Arabidopsis thaliana: one gene and its partners. The protein of the gene in region 2 interacts with the protein of the main gene of each other region in a biochemical or structural test. Each region holds a gene or a part of one and is shown on either strand. Other genes may lie near its edges.

The links. The genes of interacting proteins can lie anywhere in the genome.
Region 1: the proteins of FKF1 (region 2) and CDF3 form a complex in vitro, tested with the Arabidopsis thaliana proteins (one study listed by BioGRID).
Region 3: the proteins of FKF1 (region 2) and CDF2 form a complex in vitro, tested with the Arabidopsis thaliana proteins (one study listed by BioGRID).

What each region holds. Positions count from the first base shown.
Region 1 is NC_003074.8:17,503,360-17,507,719, reverse strand, and holds CDF3 (cycling DOF factor 3), read left to right. Parts: upstream 1-1,595; 5' UTR 1,596-1,755; coding exon 1,756-1,896; intron 1,897-2,238; coding exon 2,239-3,444; 3' UTR 3,445-3,837; downstream 3,838-4,360. UniProt on the Arabidopsis thaliana protein: Transcription factor that binds specifically to a 5'-AA[AG]G-3' consensus core sequence. Regulates a photoperiodic flowering response. Transcriptional repressor of 'CONSTANS' expression.
Region 2 is NC_003070.9:25,506,747-25,511,435, forward strand, and holds FKF1 (flavin-binding, kelch repeat, f box 1), read left to right. Parts: upstream 1-1,892; 5' UTR 1,893-1,990; coding exon 1,991-2,262; intron 2,263-2,363; coding exon 2,364-3,951; 3' UTR 3,952-4,161; downstream 4,162-4,689. Other genes in the region: MAP70-1 (microtubule-associated proteins 70-1), read right to left, coding at 4,646-4,685. UniProt on the Arabidopsis thaliana protein: Component of an E3 ubiquitin ligase complex that plays a central role in blue light-dependent circadian cycles.
Region 3 is NC_003076.8:15,877,050-15,882,060, forward strand, and holds CDF2 (cycling DOF factor 2), read left to right. Parts: upstream 1-1,676; 5' UTR 1,677-1,870; coding exon 1,871-2,104; intron 2,105-2,523; coding exon 2,524-3,663; 3' UTR 3,664-3,730; exon of another isoform or gene 3,731-4,032; 3' UTR 4,033-4,488; downstream 4,489-5,011. UniProt on the Arabidopsis thaliana protein: Transcription factor that binds specifically to a 5'-AA[AG]G-3' consensus core sequence. Regulates a photoperiodic flowering response. Transcriptional repressor of 'CONSTANS' expression.

The DNA of each region.
Region 1 (4,360 bases), on a different chromosome or scaffold from region 2:
TATCTATTGACATGACATTAAAATCCAACCTCCTTTGCTTTTTTTTTTTTTTGCTCTTATTCTGATCTTAAATCTCTTTATCTTTTTTTTTTCTTTACGTCCATAAATTCTTTAGAACAAAACCATAAAACACAAGTTTAATGGTAAGAATAAAGGAACAAAATCACCAAATGAAAGCAAAAAAGAAAATCAAACGAAATAGATATCAGACTATTAAGAAAGAGAGACCATGGCATTATTACTATATCAATATGAAAGAGTTTTAGTTACTATTGGGCCAAACCAAAAAAATGTTTGAACACTAAAATAAGAGACAACAAACTAAGAAAATAGTCAAAGAGATTATTCTCTTCTTACTAAAGAAGGATGAAAACATCATCTAGTTCACAGCAATATCTGGAATGGAGGGTTGCCTAAACCTCCACTCCATTGAATGTGCATAAACTACTTTCAGATATGCAGTTTTGTAGTCATCCAAGAGATCAAGTTTTTTGAAGACATAGTATTGGCCAAGTTTTATAATCTACACAACAGCTATTACGAACTCACCCTTATCACCATACTCAACAACTTTTTCGGATCGACTAGTATCATTACTAAATTTGATTTGGGGTTGCTTTATCCAGTTAGAAAAAACTGATATCCAATTCCAACGAGGTCTAATATCTATTCTATAGAAAATCAAACTGTCCTATGGTATAGCAAAATGTTTAGTTGTATAGAATCTAATCTAAAGAAATAAATTATACAAAACGGTAATGTTATAAATTAGGAAAACATCTACATAGTCAAATCCTAATTATTACATAGATTGTGTTTTTTTTTTTCATATCGATTGTGATGTTATTTTGCATAAAAGTTATATGACAATAAAAACTTTTAGTATGAAATTTTTTACCTAAAAATTGGTAGACGAATGACCGAGAGATTGCCAAAGATTATAGTTAACATTTAAAATGAATACAAATACCATGTAATGATGTAAAAAAAAGTATTAAGTAATTTTGAAGTGTCATGATGCTTACAGTGAAATTTGTTTTACAATCAGTGCCAAATTTTACAACTATAAGTAAAGTTGAACGAAAATCCTAGAATCTATCAAATTTGAGCACTATTATTATAGTTTGCACTCGATGATTTACAAAATTCTTTGAATCCATGGTACATCCAACAATTATCCTCTATTACAGTTTTTAATGAAGAGAAAAATATGTAGAGATGATTTATAAAGCAAAAAAAATCAGTACATTAATAACCAATATAATATGTTGCTTCATTTTTAAACGCCAATTATAAAAAACAAATAAACAAATTTTCACAATAAAAATTAACTTCTTTTCTGATAGGAAACTAAAAAAAACTGATACTTTTAAGTTTATGATTAATATTATATATATATATATATATATAGTTTTGAATGATCGAATAAATATGTGCGACAGAAAATAAAGGAACAAAAAAAAAGGATTAGATGCGAATAATACACATAAAAAGGTAGGAAATATTAATGATTAATTAATAAAACCCGACAACCCGACCCGGTATTAATGAGCGAAAAGGAAAATATCAGAGGCCACATAAACTTGTGGCTGAGAATTGAATTGTGATGCTGACGTGTTTCCTCCTTCTCTTTTAAACTGATCTTCTAAATCCCTAAATTTCACCAATTCACACTCTCCCAAATCTCTCTTCTTTAACAACAAAAAAAAAAATCACAGAGACATAGAGAGAAGAAGAAACAGAGGCTCCAAAAAAATGATGATGGAGACTAGAGATCCAGCTATTAAGCTTTTCGGTATGAAAATCCCTTTTCCGTCGGTTTTTGAATCGGCAGTTACGGTGGAGGATGACGAAGAAGATGACTGGAGCGGCGGAGATGACAAATCACCAGAGAAGGTACTGATTGATAAAAAGTAATTTTGGCCTGAAAATTGGAATTGTCCTAAAAATAAATATGATTAGATTAGTTTTGTACTAGTAATTAACTTAACTAGTTACTTCTTCAGTCTCTGTTTTGTCTGTTTTGGATCTACAATTTGTGTTATTGAGTTACATGAACGAAATTATAACATAGTTCCAGTCTTGTGTTACCATTAAGATATTACTAGTTCATTTAGTTGTTAGAGATTATTGGTTCTGAACTTCTGATGAAGAATAATTGTTTGATTAAGATTTCATAAAGAGAAACTTCTTTTATTCATTGCAAGTGTTCTTAATTTAGTGTTTCTTGTATCTCAGGTAACTCCAGAGTTATCAGATAAGAACAACAACAACTGTAACGACAACAGTTTTAACAATTCGAAACCCGAAACCTTGGACAAAGAGGAAGCGACATCAACTGATCAGATAGAGAGTAGTGACACGCCTGAGGATAATCAGCAGACGACACCTGATGGTAAAACCCTAAAGAAACCGACTAAGATTCTACCGTGTCCGAGATGCAAAAGCATGGAGACCAAGTTCTGTTATTACAACAACTACAACATAAACCAGCCTCGTCATTTCTGCAAGGCTTGTCAGAGATATTGGACTGCTGGAGGGACTATGAGGAATGTTCCTGTGGGGGCAGGACGTCGTAAGAACAAAAGCTCATCTTCTCATTACCGTCACATCACTATTTCCGAGGCTCTTGAGGCTGCGAGGCTTGACCCGGGCTTACAGGCAAACACAAGGGTCTTGAGTTTTGGTCTCGAAGCTCAGCAGCAGCACGTTGCTGCTCCCATGACACCTGTGATGAAGCTACAAGAAGATCAAAAGGTCTCAAACGGTGCTAGGAACAGGTTTCACGGGTTAGCGGATCAACGGCTTGTAGCTCGGGTAGAGAATGGAGATGATTGCTCAAGCGGATCCTCTGTGACCACCTCTAACAATCACTCAGTGGATGAATCAAGAGCACAAAGCGGCAGTGTTGTTGAAGCACAAATGAACAACAACAACAACAATAACATGAATGGTTATGCTTGCATCCCAGGTGTTCCATGGCCTTACACGTGGAATCCAGCGATGCCTCCACCAGGTTTTTACCCGCCTCCAGGGTATCCAATGCCGTTTTACCCTTACTGGACCATCCCAATGCTACCACCGCATCAATCCTCATCGCCTATAAGCCAAAAGTGTTCAAATACAAACTCTCCGACTCTCGGAAAGCATCCGAGAGATGAAGGATCATCGAAAAAGGACAACGAGACAGAGCGAAAACAGAAGGCCGGGTGCGTTCTGGTCCCGAAAACGTTGAGAATAGATGATCCTAACGAAGCAGCAAAGAGCTCGATATGGACAACATTGGGAATCAAGAACGAGGCGATGTGCAAAGCCGGTGGTATGTTCAAAGGGTTTGATCATAAGACAAAGATGTATAACAACGACAAAGCTGAGAACTCCCCTGTTCTTTCTGCTAACCCTGCTGCTCTATCAAGATCACACAATTTCCATGAACAGATTTAGAGTTACATATGTATATGTATATATGTATGATTGATTGTATGTATAGATGATACTGGAGAATGATGAGTTTTTGAGAATCAAACTCTTTTCTTCTTTCTAGTGATTGCCTTTATTCCTTTACATGTTTTGGTTCTCTGTACACTATTTGATTTACCTTTTTTACTTTCTTTCTTCATTTGTCAGGAAATGTTGGAAGATAACATTAATGGTAAAAAGTTGGTGTGGACCGTTGTTGCGTTGGCATTTCAACCGACACTCTTCTGACTCTTCTTTTGCAACTTCTTTGTCTTGTGAAGAACAAATTTTTTGTAATCTAATTACTTTGTCTTGTTCAGTACCAATTTATATCGGGATCAAAGGGAATAATAATAAATTTCCAAGTGTTTTTAGCTATTTCCAAAGTTTTTAACATATATATATATATATATATATGCTTAGTTATTAAAATTGTTCTGTTATTTATAGTTTGGTTTATTTAATAATTTGTTTATAAAAACTCATTTGATATTTTCAATATATTATAGTTTGAAATAGCAATACACTTCAAAATCTCTTAAGCATACTGTGTAAATATCGAATCCAATAACATTTTCTTTATATTTTTGTGAAATGGGACCATCCAATTTTAATTTAAGGGATTAATATATTTGTCGAAAATTTTTCGAAATAATCATTATAAGATAATTTAACATGCTTGCTCATCTACTTATTCCCAAATTAATATTTTTTAATTTTTATAAATTTTTATCCATAAAATCTGGATAAAATTAGAAAACATAAAACAAAAATATTAGACGATAGAAACGGTTTAACAAAACCATGTTAGTTTATTGAATATTAACCGTTTTTATCGTCTAATAAAAGAACAAATGGATTGTTACTTGAAAATAAAAATAGAATATATGAAATTTAAACA
Region 2 (4,689 bases):
TATTTTAGCTGTGAAATTACAAATATATTTTTGTGATAACATTATAAATATATATTAACATGTGGAACCCTAATTCTCATTAAACTGCTCACGTTAAAGCACATGCAGTACACCAACCATTTAAATTGTTTTGCTTAGCACGATTTTGTTTCATTCATGATTCAAAACTTCAATTTTTCTTCGTCTGTTTTTATATAAATATTCGAAACATTTATAGAATTTTTTTGTTTTTAATTTGTAATTTGGATGTGGTCAAAAATCATACTTGGATCTATATTGATGTTATACATTTCACGACTTCAAAAGAAACTATTGCTCGCTCTATTTCTGTCATTAATTAACTCATAACTTAACTTACACAAAAATTGAGATGATGACAATCATGAAACTATTTAAAAAGAAAAAGACCAGACCGGCCAATGTTAGACTAGGATTAGTGGCTATTATTCTAGTGACAGGGGTGCGATGAGTACCATTGTTTTTGAACATGTCTCTTTGTCTTCGCGATGAACCAAGCGGTCCCAAAAGTATTGGCAATAGATAGAGCCTCAATACCTTTAATTAATTATAAATTTCCCTGAATTTATATTCTCCAAAAATGAATGTTATTTTTTTCATCAATCAAAAAAAGTTGTTGGGTTTTAGTCCACCAAAAAGATGTTTGAGTTTCGATTGTTTGTGTTCAAAAAATCAAATTACATAACAAAAGCCAGAACTTTTTTTTATATCAAAAAGTAAAGAAAAAATAAGAAAAACAAAAAATCATAACTTTTTTTATTGAGGTGATAAGGAATGTAATTTATTGACGTCTTGTGAACCCGATATAAATCTAAAACTTGAAGTAGCTAATGAAACATAACAGGAAATGTTGGAGTGGTATAGAAATTACCTTTAATTTACCTTTAATTGTATAGAAATTAAAGATAAAATAAAAAGATAAATCTATGAAACAATTATTTTGTCTATATACCAAAAGGGTTAGTTTTCTTGTGTTTAGTTTTTTGGAATGGAAATATATTATTTAAATTGGAATATTTTTTTGGTTGAACACAATTGGAATATGTAAAGGTTGATTTCATGTACTTGAAAGATTATGGTCAGAAGCCTTCTCACACGGTTAAGAAAAATAAAAAAAATATGTTGTCTATTTATTTGGTTCAAATTAAGTTTTTGTGTGGGCTTTGTGGGCTAGCTATTTAGTATGGGCCTAGATCTGGACTTCTGTAAATCTTAGGACTACACTTAACTCTATTACTCTCATAGTATGCCACTATGTGGGGTCTATGGCCACTATTGCTATCAATTATTACATATTTACATTACTTACGTACATTTTCGTATTTCTAATGTAATTTTTTTGTTTAGAAACTTATATAAGTGGGAAGTTTTAGAGCTAAATCTGAATTTTCTCAACTGGGGAGAAAAACTCCCTTGTCTCATCATCCCATTCCACTCACCACGAAAACTCAATTTGTTACATTAACATTATGTGTAACCTTTTCGAGAATCGCGTTTCACAAAAATATCTATTATTTGACCAGAGTCAACGGTTACGTGAATCTGATTCCAATTGCGTTCCAACTTCCAAGTTCCAACACTTCACAAACAAAAACAAATATCTTCCCTCAAATCTCAATCTTCAAAAAAAAAACAAATATCTTTCACAAAATATGATGACGTGGAAGAAGCGAGTGGTTGAGTAGGCTAGATATTTTCTCGGAATATCCCCTGGTGACGTGTTACAATCGAACAAGAGTAGACTTACTTTTTTTAAACATACCCCTGATATATCCTTTTAATTACGAAAATTGCCACCAACTCCTGGCGCGAAGACTTCTTGCCTCGTCTTAAATATAAAGGGTATATTCGTCAATAAGTCACCAACTAAGCCAAGATATTTTAAAAGTTTAAACAGACACAAAAAGAAATAAAATATCATAAGGCTGAGAGCTTATCAGAGAAGAAGAAGATATTTCTGTAAGCGAGAAAAATGGCGAGAGAACATGCGATCGGAGAAGCCACCGGAAAACGAAAGAAACGCGGCAGAGTTGAAGAAGCAGAAGAATACTGTAACGATGGAATCGAAGAACAAGTAGAGGATGAGAAGCTTCCGTTAGAGGTTGGGATGTTCTATTACCCAATGACTCCGCCTTCGTTCATTGTTTCCGATGCTCTGGAGCCAGATTTTCCTTTGATCTATGTCAACAGAGTCTTCGAAGTCTTCACTGGCTATCGTGCCGATGAAGTTCTTGGTCGTAACTGGTATATTAATTTCTCCGATTTCCCCCTTTTTGAATTGGAGTGTGTTGTTATCAATTCTCTTGAATAATGCTGCATTTGTGGTTGAATCTGCTTGGTTTCAGTCGATTCCTACAGTACAGAGATCCTCGAGCTCAAAGGCGTCACCCATTGGTTGATCCTGTGGTTGTATCTGAGATTAGGAGATGTCTTGAAGAAGGTATTGAATTCCAAGGAGAGCTTCTTAATTTCAGAAAAGATGGTACTCCTTTGGTTAACAGACTACGGCTTGCTCCAATACGTGACGATGATGGAACCATTACACACGTAATTGGGATACAGGTCTTCTCTGAAACGACTATAGACCTTGACCGTGTCTCGTATCCTGTGTTCAAACATAAACAACAGCTTGATCAAACATCTGAGTGCTTGTTTCCAAGTGGAAGCCCGAGGTTTAAGGAGCATCATGAAGATTTCTGTGGGATATTGCAGCTATCTGATGAAGTTTTGGCTCATAACATCTTATCTCGGTTAACTCCAAGGGACGTTGCTTCAATTGGTTCTGCTTGCAGGAGGTTGAGGCAGTTGACGAAGAACGAGAGTGTGAGGAAGATGGTATGTCAGAATGCGTGGGGAAAAGAGATAACTGGAACACTGGAGATTATGACTAAGAAGCTAAGATGGGGTCGGTTAGCTAGAGAGCTCACCACTCTTGAAGCTGTGTGTTGGCGTAAATTTACTGTTGGAGGGATTGTACAACCTTCCCGCTGCAATTTCAGCGCGTGTGCTGTTGGGAACCGGCTTGTGCTATTTGGTGGGGAAGGGGTTAACATGCAGCCATTGGATGATACTTTTGTTCTCAATCTTGATGCAGAGTGTCCTGAGTGGCAGCGTGTGAGGGTGACGTCGTCGCCTCCAGGACGTTGGGGACACACACTCTCGTGTCTCAACGGGTCGTGGTTGGTAGTCTTTGGAGGGTGTGGAAGACAAGGATTGCTTAATGATGTATTTGTGCTTGATCTAGACGCTAAGCATCCCACATGGAAGGAAGTAGCAGGAGGAACTCCTCCATTGCCAAGATCTTGGCACAGCTCGTGCACCATTGAGGGCTCTAAACTGGTTGTCTCAGGTGGCTGCACAGACGCTGGAGTGCTTCTCAGCGACACCTTCTTGTTGGATCTGACAACAGATAAACCGACATGGAAAGAGATCCCGACATCATGGGCTCCTCCTTCTAGACTTGGGCATTCTTTATCGGTCTTTGGTCGGACTAAAATCCTAATGTTTGGCGGGCTTGCAAATAGTGGTCATCTAAAGCTAAGGTCAGGGGAGGCATACACTATAGACTTGGAGGATGAAGAACCAAGATGGAGAGAGCTTGAGTGTAGCGCATTCCCAGGCGTGGTTGTACCGCCTCCAAGACTAGACCATGTGGCTGTGAGCATGCCGTGTGGTAGGGTCATCATCTTTGGAGGGTCGATTGCAGGGCTTCACTCTCCTTCGCAACTGTTTCTAATAGATCCTGCAGAAGAGAAACCGTCATGGAGGATCCTGAATGTCCCCGGGAAACCGCCTAAGTTAGCTTGGGGACATAGCACATGCGTTGTTGGAGGAACTAGAGTATTGGTCCTTGGTGGTCACACTGGTGAGGAATGGATACTCAATGAATTACATGAACTCTGCTTGGCTAGCCGGCAAGACTCGGATCTGTAAAGACTCTTTCCTTCTTCATTTGGTTTGTGGTTTTGTATCTGTCACATTCCAAACTCTTACGACATGTAGAAGAGATATATCAGAAGCTAGAAGCGTGTGTACATAGTAAATTAGTGATTGTTGTACGCTTTAGATAGATATTCATGTAATGTTAATGGTTTTGCTGTATGAAGATCCTTCTATAATATACTTCTCCTTGTTACTCGACCATGCAGGATTTGATTTTTGACGTACCATCCAAAAGAGAGAAGACACTGAGTTTGGACATATATATATATATCCACAAACCCAAAAGTAGAAATAATCACACAACACCTCAAGTAAATAGAATGAAGAAACCGAAAAAGTAAAGTACACAAACTTCAATACAGAGCTAAAACCTATACAGCCAAACAAACTACTTCCATAGGACAGAAAATGTTATGCGAAAATGTCAAACATCTCTCCCTCCACCCTTTTTTCTTGTCGTCATCGCTAAGCAGTGTAAGCCGATCTAAGTCAGAAAGCATACTTATCTTTTTCATCCTTAAGTTCTATGGTAATTCAATAAATCACAGAGGATGTAAAGGAAAGCAAGAGAAATAAAAAAGAGATATAAAGGTTAAAAAGAGCTTAAAAATCACACCAGCCTATAACGGTTTTACTTGTTTAAACTGATACGACCACAAGAACTAGTCACATCTCCTCCCTCATCTCATTGTGTACTCCTTGTTAACCCACTTCGGCCAGCAGCTCTGC
Region 3 (5,011 bases), on a different chromosome or scaffold from region 2:
TTTTTTTTTACAATATAGTTCATTCAAGTTCTTTTTTTTTTTTTTTTTACAATATAGTTCATTCAAGTTCTTTTTTTTTTTTTTTTTTACAATATAGTTCATTCAAGTTCTAATTCGAGAATGTTCAAGTCATGTGATATATCAACGAGACTTGTTTTTATACGAAAAATGCTAATTTTAATAAAACAAAACTCAAATAACGTTTCTTTAGTTCGGGGAAACAGTCGAAAAATGATAAAATATGTTTCCTAAGAATCTTTATCAGTCGTGCCTCCAAGTGGGGATAATATAATAAATGTAATGAAAAAACTTTATTATATAGTATATATTTGTGATTTGGGGTGGTCTGAAATAAAGGTACTATATACTTATCCACATAATTGCACTTTTTCAATGTTAGACTTGGCGTTCAATTACTTCTTATCCACAATATTGCACTTTTTCCAAATCGACTTGGCGTTCATTAGTAACCACAACTTCTAACATCGACTTATTACAGCCACGTATCTCTGATATGTTGAAGATTTTATGACAAGAATATAGGCAAAAAAGAGGAAAGAAACTGAAGATCCACTATATAGTAAATACTTGTAGCTTCATTTAAAAAAAAGAAAGTGATTTCAATGTTAATTTATTTTTCCTACAAGTACCAAGCTAAAACTGTAACTAAATGACTATTATTATCAGCGTAAAAAAACACATACTCCTTTTGTTTTTTTTTTTTGATTTTCTAGAAAAAAATTGTTTCAAAAAGATTGATTTTTTGGTTTTCAATGCAATATTTATTTAGTTATAATTGATAAATTGTAAACTTCAATAAGAATTATTGAATATCATTGGTTTAGAGTTATTGAAAATTATAAATTACAAAGAATAATACATTTAAAAGCAACATTTAATATGTTTTCTTAATATTTGTGTTTTTCCTAAAAAATCAAAGAAAAAAGAACACAAGGAGTATCAATCTGTAAAATGGATTTGTTTGAAGACAAAGATTGGTTTTTTTGGGGATAAAATACTATATTTTTTTAGTATTTTAATTTTTTGTTGGATCTTCTTAGTTCTTTAAAAATGAGAAAATTAATGTTTATATCATGTAATTTGTTTCTTTCATAAATATGTTTTTTTTTTCTTTCTCTCCAAATCTAATCATGATATTGTTTTCCATGGATATGGCTATTATAGAAAGCTAGGAATTAAAAAGTGTTTCAAGGTTTTAAATATGTTTTTTGTTTGTTACTCTAAAGTTTGTTTTTTCTTCTGAAATTTCATTTATAAACAGTAATTTTTTAATAAATGTGTGGGTAACAAAAAATTTATTGACATAGTTAGAATTAGAAAACATGTAAATTAGAAGTTAAATGGCCTTTAATCAACCATTTTTACATTAATTTAAAAAAATTCAGACTTTTAAAATAAAAAAGTTAAAAATGAAAAGAAAAGTAAAAGTAAAAAAAAGTGCTGACCACTGACCAGATTGAAAAGGAAAATAAAAAGAAAGCCAAAAAGAGACGAAAAAGAGAAAAAAAAAAGTCCACAAAAACAAAAATAAACTTGTGGCTAAGAATCCTCACGTGTGATGACGTGGCACTCTGGGCGAATCAAAAGGTTGTACAATTCGAAAGATCACAAACCCAAAAAGCAAAATCTGTAAATCTTTTTTCTTTCTCTCTCGCAAAGACAAAAAAGCATTCCCAATTAACAAATCTAGAAATCAAAACTCAGACAACCACCGATAACAAGACAGTCGTTTCTCTCTCTCTTTTAAACAAATAAAAATTGGAACTTTTTTCCTCTGTCTTCTCAAAAAGTTTCCGCTTTTTGCTCGCTGGAGAAGAAAGAAAGAAAGAAGTGAAAAGGAATCATTACCATGGCTGATCCGGCGATTAAGCTCTTTGGAAAGACGATTCCTTTACCTGAGCTTGGTGTTGTTGATTCTTCTTCTAGCTATACCGGATTTTTAACCGAAACTCAGATTCCTGTTCGGTTATCAGATTCGTGTACCGGCGATGATGATGATGAAGAGATGGGTGATTCCGGTTTAGGACGAGAAGAAGGTGATGATGTTGGTGATGGTGGAGGAGAGAGCGAGACTGATAAAAAGGTTAGTTTTTTTTGGAACTTGTGAATTGATTTTGATTTGTTAAATGGAAATGATTGATGGGTTTATGTTAGATTGGTCAAATCTTAGTTTTATTGATAAAGTTATGATTTTTGGTTTGTTTATGTAAGAACTAGGTTTTCAGAGCTTTTGGGGATTCGAAAATTGTAAATCTGGATTCTCAAATGAGTTTTTTTTTTTCCTTTTGTTATAAAGTGATTTGAGATCTTAATTAGTTCCATTTGGTTTTGATTGATGGTTATAGGTTTTGATATTGATTTGCTTAAGAACTTTTCAGGGTTTTAGCTTCTCTGTGATTGGAATCAAGTCTTTGATCCCTGTAGCTTCTAGCTTCTGTTTGTTGTTTGTTTGATTAGGATACATAACAACGATCTGACTCTGGTTCTTATGTTATTCTTCAGGAAGAAAAAGATAGTGAGTGTCAGGAAGAGTCATTGAGGAATGAATCTAATGATGTTACTACTACTACATCGGGTATAACTGAAAAAACGGAAACAACAAAAGCTGCAAAGACGAATGAAGAGTCAGGTGGTACTGCTTGCTCTCAAGAGGGGAAGTTAAAGAAACCTGATAAGATTCTACCGTGTCCGCGATGTAACAGCATGGAAACCAAGTTCTGTTACTACAACAACTATAATGTTAACCAACCTCGCCATTTCTGCAAGAAATGTCAGAGATATTGGACAGCTGGTGGAACGATGAGGAATGTTCCGGTTGGTGCTGGGAGACGTAAGAATAAGAGTCCAGCTTCTCATTATAACCGTCATGTAAGTATAACATCTGCGGAAGCTATGCAGAAGGTGGCGAGAACTGATCTTCAACATCCTAATGGTGCAAATCTTCTCACTTTTGGCTCTGATTCTGTGCTTTGTGAATCTATGGCTTCTGGATTGAATCTTGTTGAGAAGTCATTGTTGAAGACACAAACTGTATTGCAAGAACCCAATGAAGGCTTGAAGATTACGGTTCCGTTAAACCAGACAAACGAAGAAGCTGGAACAGTCAGCCCGTTACCAAAAGTTCCATGCTTTCCAGGACCACCACCAACTTGGCCTTACGCTTGGAACGGAGTTTCGTGGACGATTTTACCGTTTTACCCTCCACCGGCTTACTGGAGCTGCCCGGGGGTTTCACCGGGGGCATGGAACAGCTTCACATGGATGCCACAACCCAATTCACCATCTGGTTCCAATCCAAATTCTCCTACACTAGGTAAACATTCACGTGACGAGAACGCTGCTGAACCAGGAACCGCTTTTGATGAAACCGAGTCACTTGGTAGGGAGAAAAGCAAACCCGAGAGATGCTTGTGGGTTCCCAAGACGCTGAGGATTGATGATCCAGAGGAAGCTGCTAAAAGTTCCATCTGGGAAACATTAGGGATCAAAAAAGACGAAAATGCGGATACTTTCGGAGCTTTCAGATCATCAACCAAAGAAAAAAGCAGTCTTTCTGAAGGAAGACTTCCGGGAAGAAGACCGGAGTTGCAAGCGAATCCTGCTGCTCTTTCTAGGTCAGCAAACTTCCATGAGAGCTCATAGAAAGAAGAAGAATCTAAGCAGCTGATTTGATTGTTTTTGGGTTCAGTCTTGTGTTCCAAGAAAGCAGGTGAGTCCTTTTGTACATATAGCTATATATACACACACATGTTTGTGTATATATATATAATGGTTGACATAGTGAGGGATAAGTAGTTTTTGGATTGCAGAGTGAAAGTTTGTTGTATCATAAATGAAAAAACCTCAAAACTGTAGTTAAATAAATGTATCTTGCATGAATAACTTATTTTCCCTATCATGACATTGTATGTTCACAGACAAATTCAAACAAGTTTAAAGGAACGTTTATAGTTATCCACATGATGTATGATTCTCAGAATCTTGAGAGTGATCTAACTTATTGGACTTCAGTAGTAGTGGCAGCAACAAGCTTGTTTTCGGCATCCGCGGAGGAGCGAACCACTGTCTTCAACTTCTTAGATGACCGCGATGTCAAGTGTTTACCATGGTAAATCAGGTTTGCTTTAGTAGATGTGTAGTCATTCTTATAACCAGTCCAAAAATCACCCAACAAAGACATGAACCAAGTCTCGAAAAAGCAAGCCGCGATCACCAATACTGCGAAAATAACGCAAACACAGCTTCTTCACTGCAAGCAAATGGTCATGGTTGATGCATGAATGGAGAGTCTATTGACAACATACATAAGCAAAAGCAATGTGGTAGATGCATGAAGAGAAGATATTGCAAGCTGCCAACTACGGTTCGATATTTGTATAATCTAGGATTAAAAATATTAAAGAAACCACACTAAATGGATTGACAAAGTCAGCTATATCAGAAGATTTATCGTCTATTGACCAAAACAACCAATGAAAGAACATTTTGATACTATATTAAGAGATAAGTAGTAAATTAATATAGAAGAAGTTTGTGAAAAACGCCAAAAGAAAAAGAAAGCCACTACCTTGTTTGTTCAGTTGCAATTTCCAGGAAATTTAGTAAGGAAATTAGTTGCAATTGTGACATTAAATTCGTGTTAGTCTTTTTCATGACTAGAACAATAAGAGTACTATTGAATTAGTCATCGTTTAATTGATTTCTTACGTTTGGTCAAACAAGTCACGGATTATGGTGAGAAAACGATTACTTAATTGTGGAAATTAGCTATAAGAAATTTTCCTTTGCTTTTTATGTTTTTCTTAGTCTACTTGTTTGTCTCGCTGCCTTACTCTTGCAAAATTTATACGAAATTTCGTCTGAATATTTTACATAAAGTAAAGTAAGTATTCATATGAAATTTGTATCAAAATTTGTCAAGACTAGTAAGAATGAACTGAACCACACAATACAACAATTCAAACCATGACCAAAAATATGTCGATTTGGT